7 linked regions of the Oryzias latipes genome follow. The protein of the gene in region 1 purifies or fractionates together with the protein of each later gene. This does not show direct contact. Links are inferred from orthologs where the notes say so. Each region holds a gene or a part of one and is shown in the gene's direction. Other genes may lie near its edges. The genes, in order: sf3b4, phf5a, rbm17, ilf2, prpf8, ddx42 and eftud2.

The links.
Region 2: the proteins of sf3b4 (region 1) and phf5a purify together in Homo sapiens (affinity purification with mass spectrometry; 6 studies listed by BioGRID and IntAct, with this or other methods). This does not show direct contact. The link is inferred for Oryzias latipes from reciprocal best matches to the Homo sapiens genes SF3B4 and PHF5A.
Region 3: the proteins of sf3b4 (region 1) and rbm17 purify together in Homo sapiens (affinity purification with mass spectrometry; 4 studies listed by BioGRID and IntAct, with this or other methods). This does not show direct contact. The link is inferred for Oryzias latipes from reciprocal best matches to the Homo sapiens genes SF3B4 and RBM17.
Region 4: the proteins of sf3b4 (region 1) and ilf2 fractionate together in Homo sapiens (co-fractionation; 3 studies listed by BioGRID, with this or other methods). This does not show direct contact. The link is inferred for Oryzias latipes from reciprocal best matches to the Homo sapiens genes SF3B4 and ILF2.
Region 5: the proteins of sf3b4 (region 1) and prpf8 purify together in Homo sapiens (affinity purification with mass spectrometry; 4 studies listed by BioGRID and IntAct, with this or other methods). This does not show direct contact. The link is inferred for Oryzias latipes from reciprocal best matches to the Homo sapiens genes SF3B4 and PRPF8.
Region 6: the proteins of sf3b4 (region 1) and ddx42 purify together in Homo sapiens (affinity purification with mass spectrometry; 3 studies listed by BioGRID and IntAct, with this or other methods). This does not show direct contact. The link is inferred for Oryzias latipes from reciprocal best matches to the Homo sapiens genes SF3B4 and DDX42.
Region 7: the proteins of sf3b4 (region 1) and eftud2 purify together in Homo sapiens (affinity purification with mass spectrometry; 3 studies listed by BioGRID and IntAct, with this or other methods). This does not show direct contact. The link is inferred for Oryzias latipes from reciprocal best matches to the Homo sapiens genes SF3B4 and EFTUD2.

The regions. Positions count from the first base shown.
Region 1 is NC_019869.2:7,215,903-7,220,175, forward strand, and holds the start of sf3b4 (splicing factor 3B subunit 4), read left to right. Parts: upstream 1-1,473; 5' UTR 1,474-1,533; coding exon 1,534-1,567; intron 1,568-2,158; coding exon 2,159-2,287; intron 2,288-2,372; coding exon 2,373-2,924; intron 2,925-3,403; coding exon 3,404-3,562; intron 3,563-3,752; coding exon 3,753-3,908; intron 3,909-4,273. UniProt on the Homo sapiens protein: Component of the 17S U2 SnRNP complex of the spliceosome, a large ribonucleoprotein complex that removes introns from transcribed pre-mRNAs.
Region 2 is NC_019877.2:2,094,200-2,098,013, reverse strand, and holds phf5a (PHD finger-like domain-containing protein 5A), read left to right. Parts: upstream 1-1,147; 5' UTR 1,148-1,219; coding exon 1,220-1,271; intron 1,272-1,544; coding exon 1,545-1,568; intron 1,569-2,881; coding exon 2,882-3,048; intron 3,049-3,125; coding exon 3,126-3,215; 3' UTR 3,216-3,314; downstream 3,315-3,814. Other genes in the region: aco2 (aconitate hydratase, mitochondrial), read right to left, coding at 150-185.
Region 3 is NC_019881.2:3,098,602-3,102,805, forward strand, and holds the end of rbm17 (splicing factor 45), read left to right. Parts: intron 1-3,402; coding exon 3,403-3,506; 3' UTR 3,507-3,704; downstream 3,705-4,204. UniProt on the Homo sapiens protein: Splice factor that binds to the single-stranded 3'AG at the exon/intron border and promotes its utilization in the second catalytic step. Involved in the regulation of alternative splicing and the utilization of cryptic splice sites.
Region 4 is NC_019869.2:21,694,652-21,697,289, reverse strand, and holds part of ilf2 (interleukin enhancer-binding factor 2), read left to right. Parts: coding exon 1-43; intron 44-494; coding exon 495-573; intron 574-654; coding exon 655-742; intron 743-952; coding exon 953-1,014; intron 1,015-1,097; coding exon 1,098-1,212; intron 1,213-1,396; coding exon 1,397-1,487; intron 1,488-2,638. UniProt on the Homo sapiens protein: Chromatin-interacting protein that forms a stable heterodimer with interleukin enhancer-binding factor 3/ILF3 and plays a role in several biological processes including transcription, innate immunity or cell growth.
Region 5 is NC_019871.2:16,913,121-16,917,222, forward strand, and holds the start of prpf8 (pre-mRNA-processing-splicing factor 8), read left to right. Parts: upstream 1-1,302; 5' UTR 1,303-1,459; intron 1,460-1,932; 5' UTR 1,933-1,943; coding exon 1,944-2,100; intron 2,101-2,200; coding exon 2,201-2,369; intron 2,370-2,574; coding exon 2,575-2,739; intron 2,740-2,854; coding exon 2,855-3,073; intron 3,074-3,154; coding exon 3,155-3,367; intron 3,368-3,498; coding exon 3,499-3,624; intron 3,625-3,719; coding exon 3,720-3,825; intron 3,826-4,102. UniProt on the Homo sapiens protein: Plays a role in pre-mRNA splicing as core component of precatalytic, catalytic and postcatalytic spliceosomal complexes, both of the predominant U2-type spliceosome and the minor U12-type spliceosome.
Region 6 is NC_019866.2:4,156,423-4,159,330, reverse strand, and holds part of ddx42 (ATP-dependent RNA helicase DDX42), read left to right. Parts: intron 1-182; coding exon 183-335; intron 336-413; coding exon 414-518; intron 519-655; coding exon 656-775; intron 776-862; coding exon 863-1,039; intron 1,040-1,119; coding exon 1,120-1,248; intron 1,249-1,331; coding exon 1,332-1,431; intron 1,432-1,527; coding exon 1,528-1,575; intron 1,576-1,649; coding exon 1,650-1,747; intron 1,748-1,957; coding exon 1,958-2,234; intron 2,235-2,380; coding exon 2,381-2,607; intron 2,608-2,691; coding exon 2,692-2,802; intron 2,803-2,896; coding exon 2,897-2,908. UniProt on the Homo sapiens protein: ATP-dependent RNA helicase that binds to partially double-stranded RNAs (dsRNAs) in order to unwind RNA secondary structures. Unwinding is promoted in the presence of single-strand binding proteins.
Region 7 is NC_019866.2:5,482,054-5,485,553, reverse strand, and holds part of eftud2 (116 kDa U5 small nuclear ribonucleoprotein component), read left to right. Parts: intron 1-55; coding exon 56-167; intron 168-252; coding exon 253-393; intron 394-460; coding exon 461-562; intron 563-1,432; coding exon 1,433-1,515; intron 1,516-1,696; coding exon 1,697-1,783; intron 1,784-2,502; coding exon 2,503-2,629; intron 2,630-3,500. UniProt on the Homo sapiens protein: Required for pre-mRNA splicing as component of the spliceosome, including pre-catalytic, catalytic and post-catalytic spliceosomal complexes. Component of the U5 snRNP and the U4/U6-U5 tri-snRNP complex, a building block of the spliceosome.

The DNA.
Region 1 (4,273 bases):
CGTACAGGTGAACGCAGGACTAAGGCTTTACTGATGCCTGCAGCAGCTGCTCAGGTTTAACAAGAATTAGATGGTAATCTGTCATCATGTTCCTTTTGTCTATTGTAGACTTCATTGTATGTGGTGAGAACACCAGCAGCCGAATGTATGCTCTGTGTCACCGACAGAAGGACCTACAATGCTGCTCTGGTATGGATTGTGTTTGAAATGTAGATGGATCAGGATTCAGTGTTGGTTAGAGGTACAATAAGAAGGTTAGAAAAAGGAGTTTGGAAAGTTTCTGAGCTGCTTTTCCTTTTTTGGTTTGAGATACCACAACTTTACATTGAGAAAATAAAATACAACCTCATAACACTTGTTGAAAAGTAAAAATCTTTATAGTTAGGCACCCTATAAACATGAAGGCAGTTGATCCGGTGGTCTTTTGAAGACGCTTGTGAATGCAGTTTATTGGACTGTCTCTACTTAAAAGATCAGTCTGGATTTAGGCAAATTAAACAGCAGGAGGGCTGGCATTTGTGCAGCACAATAAAAGTTTAGGAATTGGCAACATAAAATAACAGAAAATTATCCAAAAGACTGAGATTAAAGTCTACCATTTGGAATTGTGTTATGTTGATACAACTTTAAGAAAATAGGTAGTATTTGATTGTAAAACCTTTCAAAAACATCTTAATTAAAACTTTTTGGCCTTTACACTTCTTACATAATGGATCTGTAATTTGCTCAGTTACTTGAAACATTTGAAAGATTTCTAATGAGACTTAAAAGGAATGAACAGTTTGACTGAAATAAAAATTTGTTTTTTTCTGCTAAGTCTGTGACTCAAGTTGGATTAGTCAAAAGACTTTTTTCCTTTTTCTTTTCGTTTGATTATTATTATTATTATTTTTAGAAACAATGATTGCAATATCATAAGAGCCATCAAAAAATGATCTGAACATCTTTTTTATTAAGCTTTTGGAGACTTTGACCTATGTGTGTCCTTTTTGTTTCTTACTTTTCTAAATGAGCAGCCATTTTTAGCTCTTAATGTTCATTTTTTTTTAATGTAAAAGTCTCAGCTCTGTACACAAATGCATTTCACTTATGTTATTATTGATCAAGGCTTTTTTAACCCATTTTTATATATGCATTTATAAAATGAAAACATTGGCTTTTTGTGTTTTGAACTTTGTTGCATGACATGCTTTTTTATTTTATTTTGATACAGTATTGTTTTATAAAAATGGTTTTATTATGCCCAAATTGTATTTTGTATGAACAATTTGTATTCCATGTTTATACTTTTAGTAGATTTATATAAAAATGTATATAAATATGTAATAAATTGGTCCGTACAAAGTTTTGAACTTTATCTGGTCTTGTGTTTTTATTGTTCGATGCTATTAAAAAAATAATCTAAAACGAAGCAAAGATATTGTATTTTATTTTTTGAAAGAGGAGTTCATTTTATATTATAACTTCCGGTTTGCTGAACAGGAAGAGGCGGAGCTTCCTACATGAACGCTTCTGGTGCGTTGGTCATTCAACATGGCCGCGGGACCAATTTCTGAAAGAAACCAAGGTAATTTACGGAATTATTACCCATTTCTTTTGACATTTAGCCGTGCATAAATGTATGTAATGTGTAGTAACACCCAACAAGGGCACATTTTTCCTCATAGAGCGAATATGGATCCTAAAATTAGCTAATATTCTTCTGTTGAAACCGGGTAAACACATGGAGTGAAGCGGCTTTAGCCTAGCTTGTAGCTAATAAAGCCATTCTCCCAATTAATCGTTTATCGAATTTGCACTTTAGATGCACGTCCTTTTATATAAGCATTAAGCTGTGAAAAAACGTATACTCATTTCCATTGTTGCAAATCTATAAATAGAAAGAGAAAAAGCAATATTTTATGCCAGGAACTAATACTAAACAACTGCAACTTCTTTCATAATTTAACTTCAGTTCATTGACCTCATTTTATTCTTACCAGGCAGCATGATCATTAAATTTTTCACAGTTTCAACAATGGTTTTAAAAAGAACTAATGAAACTTTAAGTGAACATAAATATGGTCATTTCTTTTTGTAATTCGTATTCATTAACTTGTGTCAGAAAGTGGAAACCTTTGTAGTGTTTTACTCACCAAGCCTGCTCTTGTCTGTCCAGATGCCACGGTGTATGTCGGTGGGTTGGATGAGAAAGTGTCGGAGCCGTTGCTATGGGAACTCTTCCTGCAGGCTGGTCCTGTGGTAAACACGCACATGCCCAAAGACAGGGTCACGGGTCAACATCAGGGTGAGTGCACTTTCAGTTGGTCAACAAGATTGAACAATTATCTTCTTAGAAAATTATCTTTACAAAATTGTTTTTCTTTATTTAGGTTATGGCTTTGTGGAATTCCTCAGCGAAGAGGATGCTGATTATGCTATTAAAATAATGAATATGATCAAGCTCTATGGAAAACCCATTCGAGTCAATAAGGCCTCGGCACACAACAAAAACCTGGATGTGGGTGCGAACATCTTCATCGGTAACCTGGACCCAGAAATCGATGAGAAACTGCTCTACGACACATTCAGTGCCTTCGGTGTGATTCTCCAAACACCAAAGATCATGAGAGACCCAGACACCGGCAACTCCAAGGGTTACGCTTTTATCAACTTTGCCAGTTTTGATGCTTCTGATGCCGCCATCGAGGCCATGAATGGCCAGTACCTCTGTAACCGGCCCATCACTGTGTCGTACGCCTTCAAGAAAGATTCTAAAGGGGAGCGCCACGGCTCCGCCGCAGAGCGACTCCTGGCGGCGCAGAATCCGCTGTCCCAGGCGGACAGGCCCCACCAGCTGTTCGCTGATGCCCCACCACCTCCCTCTCTTCCCACCCCGGTCCTGACCACACTAGGAGCTGGAATGGGTATTCCGGGCATGGGAGGTGGGTGTTACGTCACATTTATGTGAAAATAGTTTTGTTTTTTTAAAGACTCGCTTTTATGAACATTGTCTTTTTGATGTATTTTTGTGGCATTTTTCTGATGATAGAGACAAAGAAAATGTAGCTCAAACTTGCATTTGACTGCAAACTGCAAAAATTAAAAACTGGATTTAAATCTGAAGCAGACAAAAAAAAAGGATTTTTCTGTAGTTTTACATAACTACTGCCATTCCGCAGAAACTATGTTCTAGAAAACAACACAGGATCTTTTGATTTTGGCTAAAAATGGCATCATCACCATCATCATTTTCATAAAAGACCGCTTTGAAAAAAGATCAAAGGATGATCAGTGTGGGACTTGTGTTTTGTGTTAGCCTAAACAAGTGTTTTTACAGATACAAATTAGCAATTAGCTGCAAAAATACAAACAAATGTACCCACAAGTCCTTCAAGTAGATTGTGTTGATTTGTGTGTGCAGGTCTGCCACCTCCTGGTGCCTTTCCCCCTGTTCCTCCCCCCGGATCACTCCCTCCTTCCATGGCCCATGGCATGGGGATGCCTCCATCAGCAGGTGGCCCACAGGGTATTGGCGGTCCAGGTGGACCACCACCCTTCCCGCCTGGAAGTATGCATCCAGGTGAGACATTGTGACTTCTTAAGAGTGGTTTTTGTCTTTCTGTCGGAGGAAATACAGAGGTTTTGAGCCTCAGAGCCGCGTTTACTTTGTTTGGCATCCGCATAAACATCTGAAAGTCAAAGCCTGTTCTCGTTTTAGTATCTAGTTTTTCTTCCCGCCACCTCCAGTTTGATCCGTTTCTGTCACTCAGGTATGCCTCAGATGCCCATGCACCCTCCCGCTCCGCCTGGCATGGTTCCACCTCCTCCTGCTCCACCAGGATCATCCCAACGCGCCCCGCCCCCCAACCTCCCCCCACCCCCGCCTATGGGCATGCCGCCCAGAGCACCATATGGACCCCCCATGGGTGAGTGTTATGACGCCTCTTCATGTCTCTGTCAAATAGAAAAAACACCTGAAAGGAAAAACGGCGTTGAAGGAAGTGTCAGAGTTGGCAGGATTTGGCAGAGACGCTCTGAAAGTGATGTAATGGGGGTTTGGTAAGGAACCAGGTCCGCCAATCATCTCAGTCACTGACTTACATTTATGAAATCACCTGTGCTTGTAGCATCCTAATATTTGAGTTGTTGATAAAGTAAAACTTCAAACAAATACCTACCTTTTCAAACTAAACTTGCTAATGAATTATTGTCAGCTGAATTAAGGATATCCTGATCAGATTCAGAGTCGTTTGGTTTTTAGTTTTGATTTGATCATTTTAGACTTAAACAG
Region 2 (3,814 bases), on another chromosome or scaffold:
GCTAGGAAAAACCTCTGCGTTCATCCGTTAGCTCTCGGTCTTTTAATGAGACCGGGAAACTGTACACGAGATGTTAAATCTTTTCATGCAAATCGACACTTCGCTGCGGGGAAATTCACACTTAAAAATCACAGTTTTTAGGCTCTTACCTGGAGCCGTGCGACGGTGAGACAGTAAGATGCCATTTTGTTCACTGACAAAGATGTGAGATCGCCGTGACGTCACTGATGTATAAAAGCTTCTTTCTTCTTCTTTGGTTTTTCGTCCAGTGTCGTATTTACTGCTGCCCTCTGGTGGAAAAGCCTGGAAATACAGCTGAATTTTATTTCCTTTCTAAAATGTACATGTTTACATGGAATAAAATATTAAAGAAATTGTGTCAATATGTGACAAAATGTGTCATCAGACTCATAAGAAAAATATTGGTCGTCACATCAGCAGATCTAAAAGAAATAACGCATTGCTTGAATTAAATTTTCCATACATACAGGATATTTGCATCATGTTTTCAATTCAATGGACTAAAAGTTTAGGTTTGTAAAATGGTTGTTAATCATTCATATGTGCTTGATTAAACAAAATAAATATAGAAATATGATGGAAATGTAACATTTTTATAAATTAATGAACAAAGTTAAATAAGCTAGATTTTCTGTTCATCAAAAAAGTTGCGCAATAGTTAGAAAAAATTTTATTTCTTCAGCAAGGGTATGCATTGCACACCAAAGTACATTTTTACTCAAGAAAATTTTAATTTGATGAACTGCAATTAAAGTTCTCAAACAGGTAATTTCCTCCTCAAGCTGACATGTTTATTTATAAAGTAACTCTCTCATAATTTTATATATTGTTCTGGTTTTCAGAAAACATTTTAAAAAATGAATTTAAAACAGAAAATTTCATAAAAAGGTTTTAAAAATTGGAAATGTAGCCTATTTTAAAAGCAAAAAGGGTATTTATTTAAATCTAGTATTTATAAAAAAAATGTAAATAAATATGTTGGTAACATTTTTTATTTTTACATTTTCAAAACTTAAATTAATTACTTTCATTATCTTAAATATTATAACTCGTGTTTATGTTTTATTTTGTAATTTAAAAAATAAAATAGTACATGCTTCTGTCCAGTAGGTGTCAGTATTGGCCATTTAGCTGCTTTTAGCTTCCACCGACACGCAAGAAGAAGAGTCAGCGGAGCGTTGGGTTGTCGTTAGCTAACATGGCTAAACATCACCCAGATCTGATCTTTTGTAGAAAACAAGCGGGAGTTGGTAAGTTTTTACGTAATTATTTGTTTAGTGTCTGAAACCTTAAAGTTCGTCGCAGGTAATTTGACACATTCGTGGTTTACTTTCAAAGGTTTAGCGCTTTGTTAGCATGTATGGCATGGGGTTTCAATGAGACTGTTAGCATGGTCGTGTTAGCCTAGTTTTGTGTTTGGAGTCGACATGTCTAAATACCTAGTTTTTTCTATTTAATTATTTAAAATATTAATCCCAAACTGTGTAAATTACCTTATTAACTGTATCTGTTTTCATCACCAGCTATCGGGAGACTTTGCGAAAAATGTAAGTTTTTTTAATTGTTTAATGCTATCAAACGTTCAAAGAAAGAGTGCATGTAGATATCATTTTATAGGTAATATTTATAAATAACAAAAAAAAAAAAAACATATTATAAAGTGATTCTTTGCGTGCGGCCATCCCTGATTTGTTCTTCTTTTTTTTTCTGCACGGGCCTTTAATGTTTAATGTGAGAATTATTTTCAGAATAAAAGCCCTCTCTAGTCTAGGAAAAAATACTACAATCCAAAACTTTTCCATTTCTAGAATTTAAAACAAGAAGCTTTCAATGTGAATGGAGTCTAAACTCATTTGTACTTAGTACTTTAAGTGGGAACATAAAGCAGAGTGAAGAAAAAGTCCATTGAATTCCACAGAGGTTTTTTTTCCGTTTGTTGGAAACAAAACCGATACAGTTAGGTTTGGAGGTGTGAGGGGCTGTAAAGGTAGCGTGAGTGCACACAAACAGATGGGTGATGGGAAGGGGGGACGGGCATGCTCCACGCTACCAATCTGCCCACAACTCATAGGTGTATTTCTAATAAACTCCTGCCGCTTTGGAGAAACGACACAGCTTTTGGAAACGTTATGAAAATATTTCAATAGAGGATCAGAGTGGGACTTTAAGCACGGTGGAAGTTTATTGTGGTTTGGGCCTGCTTTCTGACTGAAGCATTTGAATTCCTGCCTCGAAAATCAGTACACTTTTTCTAGATAGAAAATCTAGAATGAAGCAGTCTGTAAAACTAAATAGGAAAGGATGCCGTGGAACATATAGATATGACATTAAAGATGTCTTAAATTCCCAGTCTGGAAGTCTGGTCAATAAGATGAGATTCGAAAAACAGAAGTTTGATAAAGTCCTTCATACAGATGCATCAAAGTTATTATGTCAGTCAAATATTGCTTTAAAAAAAAAAAACATCAACCCAGAGTTCTGAACTATTGTAAACAAACTGTGTTGGCCAATTCTTATCTGTTTATCCTCTTCTCTCTATTGTATCTCCTTCCTGTCTGCATATAGAGCAACACAGATGTTCTTGATCAAAAAACACGAACGATCAGCTGTTTTCAAGTCTTGAGTTTAGTTTTAAATTTTAAAGCGCTTCGAGTTTTAAAAAAAAAAAAGTTTAATTTGATGTATCTGTAAAGCTCTTTGCTGTCATTTCATCAAAGAAACTAGCAGCAGAAACTCAGGAAGTGAGATGCAGCGTCTGACCGTCTTCTTTTACAAAAATAACTTGTTTTAAAGTCTGACTTTAACAATGTTTAAAAGACGGCAGAGACCAACCAGACTGTCCCTGATCTGCTCCTTTCAGGCGATGGGAAGTGCGTCATCTGTGATTCGTACGTGAGGCCGTGCACGCTGGTGCGCATTTGTGACGAGTGTAACTACGGGTCCTATCAGGGGCGCTGCGTGATCTGCGGAGGCCCCGGAGTGTCTGATGCGTACTACTGCAAAGAGTGCACCATTCAGGAGAAAGATGTGAGTCTCTGGGCTCCAGGATCGGCCCTTCGCTGAAATGAACCAATGTTTTTACCCTTAATCTTTTTTTTGTGCAGCGGGACGGATGTCCGAAAATCGTGAACCTGGGCAGCTCCAAAACAGACCTGTTCTACGAGAGGAAGAAGTATGGCTTCAAGAAGAGGTGAAGAAGAAACCCCCCCGGCGTCTGTTAGGCTTTCCTTCTCGTTTCCAAACTTCCAAGAAAACTGTTTTGGTTTGTGAATAAAACTCACTTTTGTACTCCAGTCTCTGTGGCCGTTTGACTGAATAATCCAGTTTTAAAGCGTTTTTTTCTTATCGTTTATACATGGAGGCTCTTTTCTCTCATTCAACCTTGTTCCTGTTAGGTTCCAAGGAAGATCCAGGTCGTATAAATGCAGCCTAAACTTTTCTAGATGGAAGAAAAGTTTCGACATTTTCCTAAAGATCTGAGGAGCTTCAGATCTGGAAGTTTTGGTTTGTCTTTTCTCGTCACATTAACCTGAAATGGAGACAACAGGGAAGAAAAAAACTAAACATTTGAGAGTTCAGTTAAAAAATTAGGGATTTGAGTCCAACAAAATCTACATTTTACTGATCAAAAGTGAGGAAATGATGTATTTAAAGACGTATAATTCTGACTTCTCCCGTCTGAAAACAGGACAGCCTGATTCCTGGTTCTTCAGGATACAAATGAATTTATTTAAATCAGAAAAGTAATTGTAGATGAACTGCTTAAAGATTACTTAAAAGTTCAACTATGGAA
Region 3 (4,204 bases), on another chromosome or scaffold:
ACCATAGAAGAAAATATTATGCAGTCTGTTGTAAACAAGCAGAGCTCCGACACGGAGTGAGATCATCTTCTAAACACGCTTCTAGTATTTTTACGATCAAGTGCCTTTGCAGCCGTACGGACTGCGGTCAGAACGCTTCTCCGGTCCGAACACTGAAACAAAGAACCGTCCCCGCCTGCAGCTACGAGACTCCAGCTGCTCTGCTCAGAGAGCAGCTGGTTCATTCTAACAGCCACAGATCTTTGTGCTCAAATGGAACAGTAGTTTCCTGCAGAGATGAATGACGTACCAATGAAGTACCAATTCTAAAGGTTCCCCTATAGAAACAAACTAAACTAAACTAAACTAAACTAAACTAAACTAAACTAAACTAAACTAAACTAAACTAAACAGACTAAACAAAACAAAACGAACTAAACTAAACAAACTAAACTAAACTGACTAAAATAAACAGACTAAACTAAACAGACTAAACTAAACAGACTAAAATAAACAGACTAAACTAAAATAAACAGACTAAAATAAACAGACTAAACTAAAATAAACAGACTAAACTAAACAGACTAAAATAAACAGACTAAACTAAACAAACTAAACTAAACAGACTAAAATAAACTAAACAGACTAAACTAAACAGACTAAACTAAACAAACTAAACTAAACAGACTAAAATAAACAGACTAAACTAAACAAACTAAACTAAACAGACTAAAATAAACAGACTAAACTAAACAGACTAAACTAAACAAACTAAACTAAACAGACTAAAATAAACAGACTAAACAAAACAAACTAAACAAAACAAACTAAACAAAACAAACTAAACTAAACCAACTAAACTAAACTGACTAGAATAAACAGACTAACAGCCACAGATCTTTGTGCTCAAATGGAACAGTAGTTTCCTGCAGAGATGAATGACGTACCAATGAAGTACCAATTCTAAAGGTTCCCCTATAGAAACAAACTAAACTAAACTAAACTAAACTAAACTGACTAAACAAAACAAAACAAACTAAACTAAACTGACTAAAATAAACAGACTAAACTAAACTAAACAGACTAAACTAAACAGACTAAACTAAACTAAACAGACTAAACTAAACAGACTAAACTGAACAGACTAAACTATACAGACTAAAATAAACAGACTAAACTAAACAAACTAAACTAAACAGACTAAAATAAACAGACTAAACTAAACAAACTAAACTAAACAGACTAAAATAAACAGACTAAAATAAACAGACTAAACTAAACTAAACAAACTAAACTAAACAGACTAAAATAAACAGACTAAACAAAACAAACTAAACTAAACAAACTAAACTAAACAAACTAAACTAAACTAAACAAACTAAACTAAACTGACTAAAATTAACAAAACAAACTAAACTAAACAAACTAAACTAAACAAACTAAACTAAACTGACTAGAATAAACAAAACAAACTAAACTAAACAAACTAAACTAAACTGACTAGAATAAACAGACTAAACTAAACAAACTAAACAAACTAAACTAAACTGACTAAAATTAACAAAACAAACTAAACTATACAAACTAAACTAAACAAACTAAACTAAACTGACTAAAATAAACAGACTAAACTAAACAAACTAAACTAAACAAACTCAACTAAACAGACTAAAATAAACAGACTAAACTAAACTAAACAAACTAAACTAAACAAACTAAACTAAACTGACTAAAATTAACAAAACAAACTAAACTAAACAAACTAAACTAAACAAACTAAACTAAACAAACTAAACTAAACTGACTAAAATTAACAAAACAAACTAAACTAAACAAACTAAACTAAACAAACTAAACTAAACTGACTAGAATAAACAGACTAAACAAAACAAACTAAACTAAACAAACTAAAGTAAACTGACTAAAATTAACAAAACAAACTAAACTAAACAAACTAAACCAAACAAACTAAACTAAACTGACTAGAATAAACAGACTAAACTAAACAAACTAAACTAAACAAACTAAACAAACTAAACTAAACTAAACTGACTAAAATTAACAAAACAAACTAAACTAAACAAACTAAACTAAACAAACTCAACTAAACTGACTAAAATTAACAAAACAAACTAAACAAAACAAACTAAACCAAACAATCTAAACTAAACTGACTAGAATAAACAGACTAAACTAAACAAACTAAACTGACTAAAATTAACAAAACAAACTAAACTAAACCAAACAAACTAAACTAAACTGACTAGAATAAACAGACTAAACTAAACAAACTAAACTAAACTGACTAAAATTAACAAAACAAACTAAACTAAACCAAACAAACTAAACTAAACTGACTAGAATAAACAGACTAAACTAAACAAACTAAACTAAACAAACTAAACAAACTAAACTAAACTAAACTGACTAAAATTAACAAAACAAACTAAACTAAACAAACTAAACTAAACAAACTCAACTAAACTGACTAAAATTAACAAAACAAACTAAACAAAACAAACTAAACCAAACAATCTAAACTAAACTGACTAGAATAAACAGACTAAACTAAACAAACTAAACTGACTAAAATTAACAAAACAAACTAAACTAAACCAAACAAACTAAACTAAACTGACTAGAATAAACAGACTAAACTAAACAAACTAAACTAAACTGACTAAAATTAACAAAACAAACTAAACTAAACCAAACAGACTAAACTTAGACGATTCCAGGGCAAAACAGAAGAACCCTCGGGGGGGTCCACATGAAGGAGGGATCCTCCCCCAGGACGGACAGGCGATTTACCAGAACTCTTAGAGAGAATGAACTTATCTGACTCTACAACTACATGATTGACTAGATCAGCAGATGAGCTTCATCCAGACGGCTGAAAAGGTCTCTGAGAAAAGGGTGGTTTTTCCAACCCTGAAGCTAAACCAGCCCAACATTATCAGAGAAAGGAATCTGCGTGATGTCAGGCAGCCTGGAGCTCAGATGATCCACGGGAGAGAGAGGCGTGTGTCGTCACATTCCCTCCTCAGGATGACAAAGCAAAAACAGCGTTCTTTGGAAGTGGAACGAATGATTTTAAATGTCCTCATGACCGTAAACAGAAAGTGTAGCAGAAAGAATCACATCCTTTCAAAGAATTGAGTTCGTCCATGGTTAGTTTCAGCTGAAACGTGCCTTTATTGTTGGTTTTTCTAATTAAAAGCAGGTTCTAGGAAGCACTGCTGCACACCAACCATCTCTGCTTCACTCTGCAGCCTATTCCTGAGCTCATGTTTGGGTTTGGAGCATCAAATCCAACTTCTTTTTCTTTCTTTTCATTTTAAGTCATTTTAATCAGTGTGTTTTTTTCCATGCCATTTGCTTTCACGTTGATATCAATCTGCCTGCATCCTGTCCTTCCTGCAGCCGTGGTGGATCTGAACGGCCGTTATTTTGGCGGGAGGGTCGTCAAAGCCTGCTTCTACAACCTGGACAAGTTCCGGGTTTTGGATCTGGGAGAACAGGTCTGACGTGGTCCTGCGATCGGCGCCGGCGTCAACCATCATCATCCTCCTCCTCCTCGTTCATCGACTTGTACATAAATTTGTTTTTGTTTTTTTTTATATTTCCTGAACAGCGTCTCTGTGGTCAGAACTGTAAAATGTAGTTGTTGTTTTTTTCCCTGTCATTTGACAAATATGTCAAAATAAAAGCTTTAAAGCCGTTTATGTGCCGTTTCCACTTTCCAAGAAGCCTACTTCTGCCGTCTGATTCTTGCCTGAAATGCACAGGGCTCCTGTGTTTGGGTTCTGCCTCTCTGGGGGGTTTTGGCGGTCCTAACATAGCCCTGCTTCATTATGGAGGGGACTAGGACAGTGAACGGAGCCTCAGCCTCATTCAGGACTTATGTAAGTGAGCCAGGGGGCCCCCAGGGGCCCGACGTCATGAAGAGATGCCCCTGGAGTGGGTTTAAATCAGATCAGTGAGGCGGGTTGGGTAACGAGTCCTGGTTTTGAAAAGCTGCTGCATGCCTCTTGGTGACATTGAAGTGGCCTTTGGCAGAGACCTGGTCGGGCTCTACAGGTGCTGATGGACTCCGATGCAGACCGGTACGGTCTGGTTCTAAACTCAACCTTCGCCGTATGGCGCTCGTGCAGAGTGTTCCGCACATGGTTGGGTTTCACGGAAAGCTCCCGAGGACGGACCATCCCTGTTCTTTCTCAGAATG
Region 4 (2,638 bases), about 14 Mb from region 1:
ACCGTTCCACCCAACCTGCGCAAACTGGATCCAGAGTTACATCGTAAGAGAGCGCACACCCGCACAGCACTTTTATAGGAATGAGGCAGGCTTGTGAAATAATTGATCAATGTTGTTTGAAGAATGTGGTCTGAGCAATCATCTACTTCTTGTTGACTTTAAAGTTTGACAAATGATTCTTTGTTGATGAAAATCTATTGTTTTAATTCTTTAAATTTTTGATTTCTTCGGCTCTTATAGTGAACCAATTATTTAGCAGATTGGTGTTTCTGTCTGAGTGAAAAGTTCATAACTTATAGTGTTGATATTTTACAATAAATCGGTGTAGACTTACAGTTTGGACCTCTCCCAACATCTGTCAAATAAACATCTGTGGGTTCAGAAACTTGAGTGGAGCTGTCAATGTATCCATAATTCTGGTGGAGGTTTGATGTTCTGGAGGCTCTACACATTCACTTTACCACCACAAAAATGCTCGTTTTTTTTCTTTCTAGTGGACATCCGAGTGCTGCAGAGTGCTCTGGCTGCCATCCGCCACGCCCGCTGGTTTGAGGAGAACGCTTCTCAGTCGACGTGAGCGCCCCGCTCGTCTCTCTTTGTGTTTCTTGACGTGTGATGAGTATCTGTGAACTGTTGCACGTTGATGATCTTCAGGGTCAAAGTTCTGATTCGCCTCCTGAAAGATCTCCGACTGCGCTTCCCTGGATTTGAACCCCTCACCCCCTGGATTATTGACCTGCTGGTAAATCACACTGAAAAATACACAAGCACAAGAATCACGTGTTAAGAGGATGCAGGAACTGACATTTAGTTTTTCCATAACGCATTTTTTTTTTCAATTAAGCATAAACAATATTGCACATTTGTTGTGTGTGTGTACAAACATTTTGAAACCATTTCTTTAGTGAAACTGTAGTAAGCCCTGCTAATCTCAGTCTATGGTTCGTTGAAGGGCCACTCCGCAGTGATGAACAATCCTTCCAGGCAGCCTTTGTCCCTGAACGTGGCCTACAGGTTGGTGTTATCTCTTGACGGCTGTGATTTCTTTAAAATGAGCGACGACACAAGTCACCCTTTCCTTTTCTGCCTCCCTAAAGGCGCTGCCTGCAGATGCTGGCTGCCGGGCTTTTCCTGCCTGGCTCTGTGGGCATCACAGATCCTTGTGAAAGTGGGAACTTTAGAGTTCACACAGTGATGACTTTGGAGCAGCAGGTAAACCCGGTTGGCTTTACTGCTTCATTGTGAGCATGAAGAGGTGTCTTTGTTGTAGTTTTGTTCTGTTTTGCTATAGTTAATGTGGAAAAATGTGGAAAATACGCAGTCAAGATAAAAGGAAAGCCAACAAAATGTCTGTCGCGTGGATTGATCCAATATTTCTCTTTTTTTGTGTTTGCAGGACATGGTTTGTTTCACAGCTCAGACACTGGTCAGGGTGCTCTCCCATGGAGGATACAGGAAGATTCTTGGCCTTGACGGAGACGCCAGCTGTAAGATTTTTTTTTATCTTTGAGGGATTAATGAAAAAAGTCTTGTACTTTAATTCAAGGTGTCCCTAAATTAGTTACTTTCAAACATGACTCTGTCGCCAGTTCCAATGGATTTGGCACAGGGGCCACAAATGACGAGCTAAAGCTCCAGCTAAGCCTGATTGAATGTTCCTCCCCACTAGCTGCAGCATCTGACACCTTGGCTTCAAAACAAAGGACCATTAGCCTATCAGGGAACACCACCACAGTAACCCCACCTCCTCTTCTATCATCCTCATGTTATTTACAAAAGTCCAGGGCAGCAGATTGCTAAAAAATTGACCGTTGCAGCATTTTATGGAAGCGTTTTTTGTCTCATAATTAGAAATAAGTCAATACCCGAAATGCTTTTTCATTTTCACAATGAAGCTGCCTTTGTTGACTCGAAAGAAAAAATAAATCCGCCTATAGGCTTTTACTTTTTCTTTTTCAACACTGCTCATTCTGTAAGGAAGCAAACAAGGAAGTAAATAAATCATTAAAGTAAAAGTATTTTCAGTTTACTGGAATAAGTTCTGAAAAACAGATTTTGTTTTGAATAAAGCCAAGAATTTGAATAGAAAAGCATAATGAATATGACATTGCAAAGATGCCATGATCAATTATGTGGCATCATATGACTGTCTGCTAGCATGGCGGAGAATCATCACACGTCCACAAAAGAGCCCTAATTTTGTTGCACTCTCTAGGGCAGTGTTTTTCAACCAGTGTGCCGCGGCACACTAGTGTGCTGTTGGAGATGGTCAGGTGTGCCGTGGGAAACTGCCCTCATTAACTGATCCAAAATCATTTACCATCTCCAGGATATCAGCTCTGTGTTCATCCAAAAAGGTCCTGATAAAACACTGAGTAGTTAGGAATATGAAAGATCGTAAAATTACTTTTTCTTTGTGTTTATTTAATTCTATTAAAGACATTTTGATAAGAATGACGGTACCGCGATTTACCTGCTATAACAGTTTACGGAAAAGTCCCGCCCCTTTAACTGTCTCCGCCAATCATTCTTGAAGGCTTAATCACATGTCATCCGTCTGACCAATCAGAAGTGGTTAAAGTCTTCACTTCCTTGTCCCGATGTAGCTCATAAAGTCGCTCAGTTCTAACAAAAATAC
Region 5 (4,102 bases), on another chromosome or scaffold:
AACTTATTTTCATTTTTTCACATAGAACATAATTCCATCTAAATGCTTTTTTTTTTTTTTTACCAAAATGACGTAATTTCATTTTTAATAAAATGCTAAAAATTTTGACTGGATAAAAAAAAAAAACTTTACAAAATAAATTTGGGTTCCCAATAAGAATCACCTATTATTCATTTATAAATGCTCGCTTTAAACTTCCAAATTTAAAACATGTGAACAGGAAAAAAGTTTTCTTCTTCCAAAGTACAAACCACTGTTGCTTTGATCAAAGAAATAACAAATGAATCTGTTTCTTTCGTTTGGCCCTCAAGGCTCTTTGTTCAAGTTCAGGTCATTGTCTACTCCCCCCAAAAAAACAGTTTCTGCATCTATGCTTTTGTCAAACGCTAACGAAAAACTTATAAATGACATTCTACAAGTGGCTGCTCTTGCTGTCAACTTTTCTTTTTTATTATTTACAGTTGACATTTTAGAAATGAACTGGAAAGGTTCCGCATCGGCTTGTTCAACAGACAGTGTATCCACAGATTTACAATTTTTAAAAATGGAATTTAGCCAATCACAGTTAAGAAATTGTAACACAGTCTACAGAAGGTGCTGGGGGCTGGATACGGATTTTGTGACCAGAGGCTGCAGCCGGTGGAAATTTGAAAGCAAGGCCCATGGGCCGGACTTTGGACATGCATGTCTTACATCAAGAATAGGCTTTAAAAAAGATAAAGTTGTTAATTAGTTTCTACTGCGAAACACTACGTGGACACACATTCTGGCAGACTTGACCCTCCTGTTAATTATAAAAGTGAAACTGGAAAAAATGTTGGCGGTGTAAAATGACTTGAACACAACATGGGATAGTTGGGGATTAAAAACATCCACAGGTTCCGAATTAACTGCTCTTGCCACTTTATTTTGTGATGTTATTTTGTGCTTTTACATTTGTAAAACTGTCACACAGCAATTAAACAAAATTCATTCAACGGTAAGCAAATCAGTCATAAACAGGAAAGATTTGTGGGAAAATAGCATTAAAAATGATCTTTTTTGTAAGGTGCTTTTGTGCTGACGTTCAAATCAATTGGAAATTAGCAACTCCATAATAACTCGCTCTTTCTTTCATTTGGCGTACAAACTATTAATTGTGTCCCCAATCCTGCGGGGGCGGTAAAGCTCCGGAAACAAAGACATCCGGGTATTCGGCATCCCTACGTTTGCGTAGATTTAGCGTGGAGCAAATGCGACAGCGATGCCATTTTAGCCGCGTGATACGTTTATTTCTGTCGTAAACTCTGCTTCTGAATGCCACAGACCTGCGTTCATCCTCCGTTGTCGTCGAGTCGAACGGCAGCGTGAGTGAGCGGGGAAAAAGAGAAACTCAATCAGAAGAGCCGATATGTTATGGTAGCCGAGAGCGAGAGCGCCGAGGCTATTTGAACGTTGCAACAATACTGCTGTGGTGAAGGTAGGAACATGTTTGCTGTTGTCTTTAACTTACTCTTTGTTACTTAACGCGAGGAGATGCTAACGCTAGCAGCATGCTAGTTTACGGCGCTGTAACGTTTGGCCTAAAACAGTTTACCCGGATTTTTTATATTAGTGTCGCACACTTCATTTGAAATATAACAGCGCTTTTAAAATTGACCATGTCAACATTTAATTGACTATCACAAGTGGATAATGGTGCCTTGATGTTTATTTTGTGCACTTTGTGGGAAGTGTGCCCGTTAGCCGGGAAGCCATGTTGATTTAGCCTAGCATGTTACACAAACGAGAGCCTGCAAACAATAATCCTGCTTCCAAGCAGTTATGTGTTAGTAAATAGTTGAAAGTTTAGTCCCTTTAAAGTCTGTAACCTAACTCTTTTTTTTTTTTTTCAAATTTGATGTATGTAGTTTTGCATCTTACAGTTTTTAAAAAAAACTTTATATTTCACAGTTTGCTACAGTATGGCAGTCAACTTTCCATTCAGAGGGGTCCCTCCTGGGATGCCCCCAGTTGTTCCCCCTGGTGTGCCTCCAATTGTGCCGCCGGGCGTACCCCCAGGTGTCCCCCCTCCTGTGCCAGTTCCGGACTTTATGTCTGAAGAGAAACTACAAGAAAAGGGTGCGTTGTCCGTTGAGTTTGCCTTTCTTTAAGTTTTGTTTTTAACATCTAATACATGTATTTCAAACATTATTCTACTAAAACATTTTTCCATCTTTAGCACGGAAATGGCAACAGCTACAAGCCAAACGCTATGCCGAGAAGAGGAAGTTTGGCTTTGTGGATGCCCAGAAGGAGGACATGCCTCCTGAACATGTTCGCAAGATCATCAGGGATCACGGCGACATGACCAATAGAAAGTTCCGGCATGACAAAAGGGTCTACCTTGGGTAAGATGAAGCATTACTTTCTGCAGATGCAAAGTCATTTGAAGTCATGTTATTTTTCTCTTAAACATTTTTTTTTAACTTTATGGAACCCTCCACTGTTCCTCTGCTTGTCTTTTTGGATACATTAGTATTAGTTTCCTGGTCAAAACTACTGTTATTGCAGACCCTTTACATGCCTTCCATTCTCTTTTCTGTTGTTTAACAGTGCTCTCAAGTATATGCCCCACGCTGTGTTGAAGCTGCTTGAAAACATGCCGATGCCCTGGGAACAGATCCGAGATGTGCCGGTGCTGTACCACATCACTGGAGCCATTTCATTTGTGAATGAAATTCCGTGGGTCATAGAGCCAGTCTACATTGCTCAGTGGGGGTAAGTGAGTAGTATCATCCTAGTTTTGTGGAATGTGTGTAAATTTCATTGTAATTGCAGTCTTGCTATTTATCTGTTGAACAGTTTTCTCCAACTTTATTTTTTTTCCCCCCAGCACCATGTGGATCATGATGCGTCGTGAGAAGCGCGATCGGCGGCACTTCAAAAGAATGCGCTTCCCACCGTTCGACGATGAGGAGCCTCCGCTCGATTATGCTGACAACATTCTTGACGTGGAACCCCTGGAAGCCATCCAGATGGAGCTTGATTCTGAGGAAGATGCCTCAGTTGTTGAGTGGTTATATGAACACCAGCCCCTCAAAGACAACTCCAAGTGAGTGTCCATATATGAGTCCAAGCTTCAGCTCAACCATTCTACATTGCGATCCTACTGTTAACAAATGTACATTTTTAGATATGTGAATGGAACCACCTACCGTCGATGGCAGTTCACATTGCCCATGATGTCAACGCTGTATCGTCTGGCCAATCAGCTTCTGACAGACCTGGTGGATTTCAACTATTTTTACCTGTTTGACCTCAAAGCTTTCTTCACATCCAAGGCTCTAAATATGGCCATTCCAGGGGGACCAAAGTTCGAGCCGCTTGTCAGAGACATCAACCTCCAGTATGTCCCTGCATGTTATGTAACAAAACAGTTAAGACATTTTCTGTTGGGTTTCTTTTTTGTGTCATGTGGATCTCTTCTTTCTTGCTTTGGCAATTAAGAGTCGTAGTTAAACTTTTGTTTTCATACAGGGATGAGGACTGGAATGAGTTCAATGACATCAACAAAATCATCATCAGACAGCCAATAAGGACAGAGTACAAAATTGCATTCCCTTACCTGTACAACAACTTGCCACACCACGTGCATCTCACCTGGTAACGAATAAGCTTTGGTGTTTACAAAATTGCTGTGTTTCTCCAAATTTGTCATTTTGATCATTATGTTTACTCACGTCTTTATTATTGTCTAGGTACCATACCCCAAATGTGGTGTTTATCAAAACGGAGGATCCAGATCTTCCAGCGTTCTACTTTGATCCGCTGATCAACCCCATTTCCCACAGACATTCTGTCAAGGTGTGAATCTCAGATGATCTCATTGTTTTGAGAGTTTTTTATGATTCTCTGATGAGAAGACTTTATTTATTGACCTAATCCTCTTACAAAGGCGCACTTGCATTGGCCTGCTTGCCTGTGCGTAAGAACAGGAGGAAAAGCAAAATGAATGGTGATCATTTTAATTCATGTCTGACTGCAGCTGCAGGGAAAAACCTCACCGTTTAGACAATGTTCACTTTCTCATTGCATACCGGCAGCCCTAAAAACACATCATTTAGGTTATTTATGTCTCCTG
Region 6 (2,908 bases), on another chromosome or scaffold:
CATTTTTCAATGTTTTTTTCCCCACTAAAATGTAGACTGTTTGTAAGCTAAATGACTGCTTCCGACTTGAATATTTACCAGTTAAACAGTGATGTTTTTATATACTAATAAAAGAATTTGGGGAGCCTTTAGAATGTCGCTGCAAACTCACCTTTTCACATGGCTGTGTGAACTCTCTGCAGGAAGCCTACTTCCGCTACATGGCAGAGAATCCCACAGCAGGGCTAACCCAAGAAGAAGAAGAGGAAAATATCGACTATGACAGTGATGGAAACCCAATTCCCTCCACTACTAAAAAAATCATCCTGCCGCTTCCTCCTATCGACCACTCAGAGGTACAGCTTCATGTTGTCCATGTGCGTTGTCTACCGGATTTTTGTTTTCTGATTTTGCTGCTTTTTCTTTCTTTGCAGATAGATTACCCTCCATTTGAGAAAAACTTTTACAATGAGCACGAGGAGCTCAGTAGCCTCACTGGAAGTCAAGTGGTTGAATTAAGGCAGAAACTTAACCTGCGAGTAAGTACATCAGTCACTTTAAAACCTGAAATAAACCTCTTGTTTGTAAAATCTTAAATGATGATCCTTATATGTTTGCGCCAACATGGTGGGTTTTTGTCTTTTCTCCATGTTTGCTCTTTCCTTTTCTAAATAAGGTATCTGGCGCTGCTCCACCAAAGTTATGTACCAGCTTTGCCCACTTTGGTTTTGATGAGCAGTTGATGCACCAAATTCGAAAGTCTGAGTACACTCAACCCACACCGATTCAGTGTCAGGTACTGTGCAACTTTACAAAAGACGTGCAGCTGAAAATGTCTTCTAGAATAGCTGCATGCGGACTCCTGGCTCTGATCTGGTTCCAGGGTGTGCCGATTGCTCTGTCCGGACGGGACATGATTGGGATTGCCAAAACCGGCAGCGGTAAAACGGCAGCGTTTATCTGGCCCATGCTGGTCCACATCATGGATCAGAAGGAACTGGAACCTGGAGAGGGACCCATCGCAGTCATTGTTTGCCCCACGAGAGAGCTTTGTCAGCAGGTAAGCGATCAGATCAGACGATTTTAAAAGATTTCCTCTGAAGGTGGCGGACTCATTGATTATCCAACTGCGTTTCCTAGATCCATGCCGAATGTAAGCGTTTTGGAAAAGCTTACTCGTTGCGTTCCGTGGCTGTTTATGGAGGAGGCAGCATGTGGGAGCAGGCTAAGGCCCTTCAGGAGGGAGCAGAGATTGTCGTGTGCACTCCAGTAAGTAACTTGTTCCGGATTTGTGTAAAAACCTCTCAGTTCTTGCGGAAACGACGGGTTTTCTCTCATGTGCATTTCTACAGGGACGTCTGATCGACCATGTGAAAAAGAAAGCAACGTCCCTTCAGAGAGTGACATACCTGGTGTTTGATGAAGCTGACCGGATGTTTGATATGGGCTTTGGTGGGCTGACATTTTCAATGTTTTAACGAAAATTCTGTTTACAATTTGAGTGTTTTCATTTAAATGAGTAACATAAATTTTGGATTTGCCTTTTAGAATATCAGGTCAGATCCATTGCAAGTCACGTTCGTCCCGACAGGCAGAGTATGTGATTTCCCTTTTTTTTATACATTTTTGATATAAATTGCATTATTTAATAGACCGAACTTCCCTCGCAGCCCTTCTGTTCAGCGCTACATTTCGAAAGAAGATTGAGAGATTGGCGAGGGACATTTTAGTGGATCCTATTCGTGTGGTACAGGGAGACATCGGAGAGGTAGCCACGTTTTTCCACAAATATTTTACGTTTAACCATATTTTATGTTTAGACACACAGACAATTTGCTGCTTGTCTAAAAGTGTTCATGTTAAGTTGATGACTTAAATAAAAAAAAAAAAGTAAAAATATATTTTGGAGCAAATGCAGATTGTCTGAAATAAACACAAAAAAAGCTTTTTTTGTACTTCCCTCTCCTCCCCCAACAAGGCCAACGAAGACGTGACTCAGGTTGTGGAAATACTCCTCAGTGGGTCAGACAAATGGGCTTGGCTGACTCGGCGGTTGGTCGAGTTCACTTCAGCCGGCTCGGTCCTCATTTTTGTCACCAAGAAGGCGAACAGCGACGAGCTAGCTGCGAACCTGACGCAGGAGGGTTACAGCCTTGGCCTCCTGCATGGAGACATGGACCAGAGCGAGAGGAACAAAGTCATCAGCGACTTCAAAAAGAAGAACTTGCCCATCCTGGTGGCCACTGATGTTGCTGGTATGTTTGGAGAGTGACTTTTGTGATTTCTTTGTGTCCGTTTTATTGCTTTTAAATCTGTACTACATTTAAGAAGGGGATCTTAAAAAAGGGGAGGGGGGCTTGAAATTGTTTTGTGGTTACATTCCTTCATTTTGTGTGCCCAGCTCGCGGTCTGGACATTCCCTCCATTCGCACGGTGGTGAACTATGACGTGGCGCGGGACATCGACACTCACACACACAGGATAGGTCGAACTGGGCGCGCTGGAGAGAAAGGCGTGGCCTATACCCTGCTAACCAACAAAGACACATCATTTGCTGGAGATCTTGTGCGGAATTTGGAAGGAGCAAACCAAGCGGTATCTAAAGAACTGATGGATTTAGCCATGCAGGTGAGATGATCAAAGCCGAGGACTGAGGGTTCTGTATGCTGGAGGTCTGGTTCTTAACACAGCCTTTTTTGGGATTTTGTCCAGAATCCCTGGTTCAGGAAGTCCCGCTTTAAGGGGGGTAAAGGGAAGAGGCTGAACATCGGCGGGGGTGGCCTCGGCTACAAAGAGAGACCAGGACTGGGAGCTGAGAGCTCTGTGAGTTACCAAACACTGTTTTGGAAAACTGCATAATTTCATCTATATTTCTAAAATCAGATAGAAAGAAATGTGAGATGTTGTCACATTGCAGGATCGTAGCATC
Region 7 (3,500 bases), on another chromosome or scaffold:
GAAATCCGCAACCTGAGTGTTGCGTAAGAAATGGTAACGTCTGACACCTTTACAGGTACCAAATTGAGGTGAATCGAGTGCCAGCAGGAAACTGGGTGCTTATCGAAGGCTGTGACCAGCCGATCGTGAAGACGGCCACAATCACAGAACCCAGAGGGAACGAAGAGGTGAGAGGTCAACAGAAAATATCACTGTGGGTCTTCAAAGGTTTCAGCCATATCAAGTTTTTGCTGATTTACCTCCCTCTGCCAGGCTCAAATCTTCAGGCCATTAAAGTTCAACACAGCATCGGTTATCAAGATCGCAGTGGAGCCGGTGAACCCGTCAGAGCTGCCGAAAATGTTGGACGGCCTGAGGAAGGTCAACAAGAGCTACCCTTCCCTGACCACAAAGGTGAGTCTGACATGTTTTTGGTTCATTCGCTGCTGAACAGCTAAAACACCACCTGGTTGTGTTCCAGGTGGAAGAGTCTGGAGAGCATGTTATCCTAGGAACTGGAGAGCTGTACCTGGACTGTGTGATGCACGACCTGAGGAAGATGTACTCTGAGATCGACATTAAAGTAAGGAAATTAACACCTGCTTTAAACTTTGTTAACTCTTTAAAGACCTACTCTGATGAAAACTGTGTTTTTAACACGTTCTTGTGGCATTTTTCTGACGATGAAGGACATATGTAAAGCAAATGAAGCTCAAAATTCAATTTTTGGGTATTTTCTTCAAATCGTTAATCAGGAAGATACGAAAAAATGCTGTTTGAAAAAGATGGTAATCACTGGGCAAAATTCACTGGGCAAAATTCACTGGGCGGGCCACAAGCTCTGCTCCATTCTGATGCATCCACTTGCCAAATAGATTCATTTAGGTCTTCATTTTCCGGGTTGGCATAAGGCTTAAAACTGTACGGCTGGATAGTTCCAATTTTGTCAACTACTGCCGCTCTGCAGAAACTATGTTCCAGAAAACGACAGGTTTTTTTATTTGGGCTAAAAACGTCACAATCATGATTAAAAAACCACTGCAAATGCTTTTAAAAAAAGATAAAAAAAAGATGAGCGGATTTGGACTCTAACACTAGAGATGTCACTTAAACAACACACACTCGTTGACATACCAGAACTTGCCAATCTACGAGTGTCAACTGATTCCGGTGCGTAGAAAAGCGGCGTTTCCCATCGCCTTTGTGGAGTTGTAACGTAAAGTGTTGCATATTGATGCAAGGCTGCTTATCTTCGCTTCAGAATTCTCTAAATTTCCGTTAATTGCGGTCGAAGAGTTACAGTGGTCTAAGGAATGTCAGTACTGGAGTTAAAGCTCGGATGTGAAAGGCTTAAGAACTCCAGAAGTAAACTAGCTGGAAAAAGTCTGAAGGATGTAATGCTGTTGTGTTAATGTTGTGGAACAACTTGTACATCTGCTGTGTTTGCTCACAGGTTGCAGACCCGGTCGTCACGTTCTGTGAAACCGTTGTGGAGACATCGTCTCTGAAGTGCTTTGCCGAGACGCCAAACAAAAAGTATGGCTCAACATGACATGTTTATATTCAGCTCTGTTCCGGGCTCGTTTGAAGCGTTCATTTGTGTGTTGGAGCGCTTAGTCTGGACTCCTCTCGCTGTCCGAAGTCTTCGTCTCTCTGTCCTTCCCCCTGGCTCCGAGCCTCTGCAGGCTGAGTGACATCTGTGTGATGTGATTGACAGGAACAAGATCACCATGATTGCAGAGCCCTTGGAGAAGGGACTCGCGGAGGACATCGAGAACGAAGTGGTGCAGATCACGTGGAACAGGTAGGAATGTGAAGACGCCTCCATCAGTCACTTCTTAATTAAACACAAGCCACATAATGTGCCTTTATGGTAAATTTGCCTGTTACTTTGATGTCAGCACATTCATTTATCCATCATTTCCCTTTTGCTGGGTTAAATAAGATTTGTCTCTTTAATTAAATTTAGTCATGGAAGAAGGTAGAGTTAAAAGGCTTTTTCAATGGACTAATTATTGGATGTGGACATTGCTCTCAGATCTGTAGGTCTGTACTTTCTGATGAGTCTCATTTGGAAATGGCACATGGAGGTGACAGCCATATTTTTATTCATTAAATCAATTATCAAAGTAATCATGAGTTTCTAAATTAATTTCTGCAGAAGTGCAGGAAAGGGAAAGCCCTCCAACGTGTCATGAAAAATCTGTCCTTATGAAAACTCACCTTGGCATATTGATCAGCCCCTCCCCTCGGTAATTGAATTATGCACTAAGAGCCTGCATGAATTTCCCATCCCTCTTGCATGCTTGGATGCTGCAGACAGGCTTCCTGTCTGAGAGGCCATCTGGACCCAGCAGGACCAACCTGCAGCAGCAGGGCTACAGGAGCGACACACTTCACACACCACCCCTTCTCTCCCATTAACCCCTCTGCCCCTCCATTCAGCCAATCTCCTTAATGTTCCAGCTTGCACACTGTGCACGTCTCCTCCCAACGAGCGTTTGTACTGTTTCTTCGCCACAGGAAAAAGCTGGGGGAGTTTTTCCAGACAAAGTACGACTGGGATCTGCTGGCTGCAAGGTCCATCTGGGCCTTTGGACCGGACACAACAGGACCCAACATTCTCGTGGACGACACGCTGCCGTCAGAGGTACGACGCCCGCTGGCTGCTGGTTTGAACTGCAGGTTCTATCTGATCCAAGAGCAGCAACAAATGTCTTTTTTTTTATCTGAGCAAATCTGTTTTTAACCCTTAATCAGTGGTGTGCAGCCTTTTCCAGGCCATGGCACAGTTTTGCCGTCTCATATAATATTTTCACGTATCGGTCTTTTAAAGCTCCAGTTTTCTTAACCTTTGAGGGTGAAAATCTATCTACAGCTGATTTAAAAATTAAATTAGATTTAAAATGTGATGCTGTAGCCTTCAACCTCATCCGGCTTTTAAGGTGCAAGGGATAAATGCAAGAATAAAAGAAAAAACGGTCACTACAACTGGCAATTTTTTCTTAATATATACGTAAATGTGAATCCACCGTATTAGCAATTTTATTAGCATCTTTCTAACATTAGAAGACAGCCGTTTGGAGAATATTATGCAGGAAAGACAACTGGTTTTTGTCTGGTAAAGGCAGCTTGCTTTTATTTTGAAGTCATCTCCTTTCTGCCAAAAGAAACTTTCCAAATACGTTTTTTATTTTTTGACTTTGCTAGCTGGGGGGTTTCTATTTAGCGGTGGGGGCAGCGGCTTTAATAAAGTACTGCTACTTGACATGTGCCTAGAATCTGTTGGATGTGGTGGGGAGAGTCCAGCAGTTTTCAGTAAAACTTCCCTCAGAATAAAATTATAAATAAAACAGAAAATATGTAGGTTGGGTGTTTTTTTTTTTTTTTTCTTTCTTTCCAGTCTGATACCAGCTGTCCCACGAAACAGGAACGGTCCCCTGGCCTGGGGGCCGTTGCTCTAAACCATAAATTCATGTGAAGGTTTCCGATTTAAATCTACTTTAAAGAACAAATGAGAA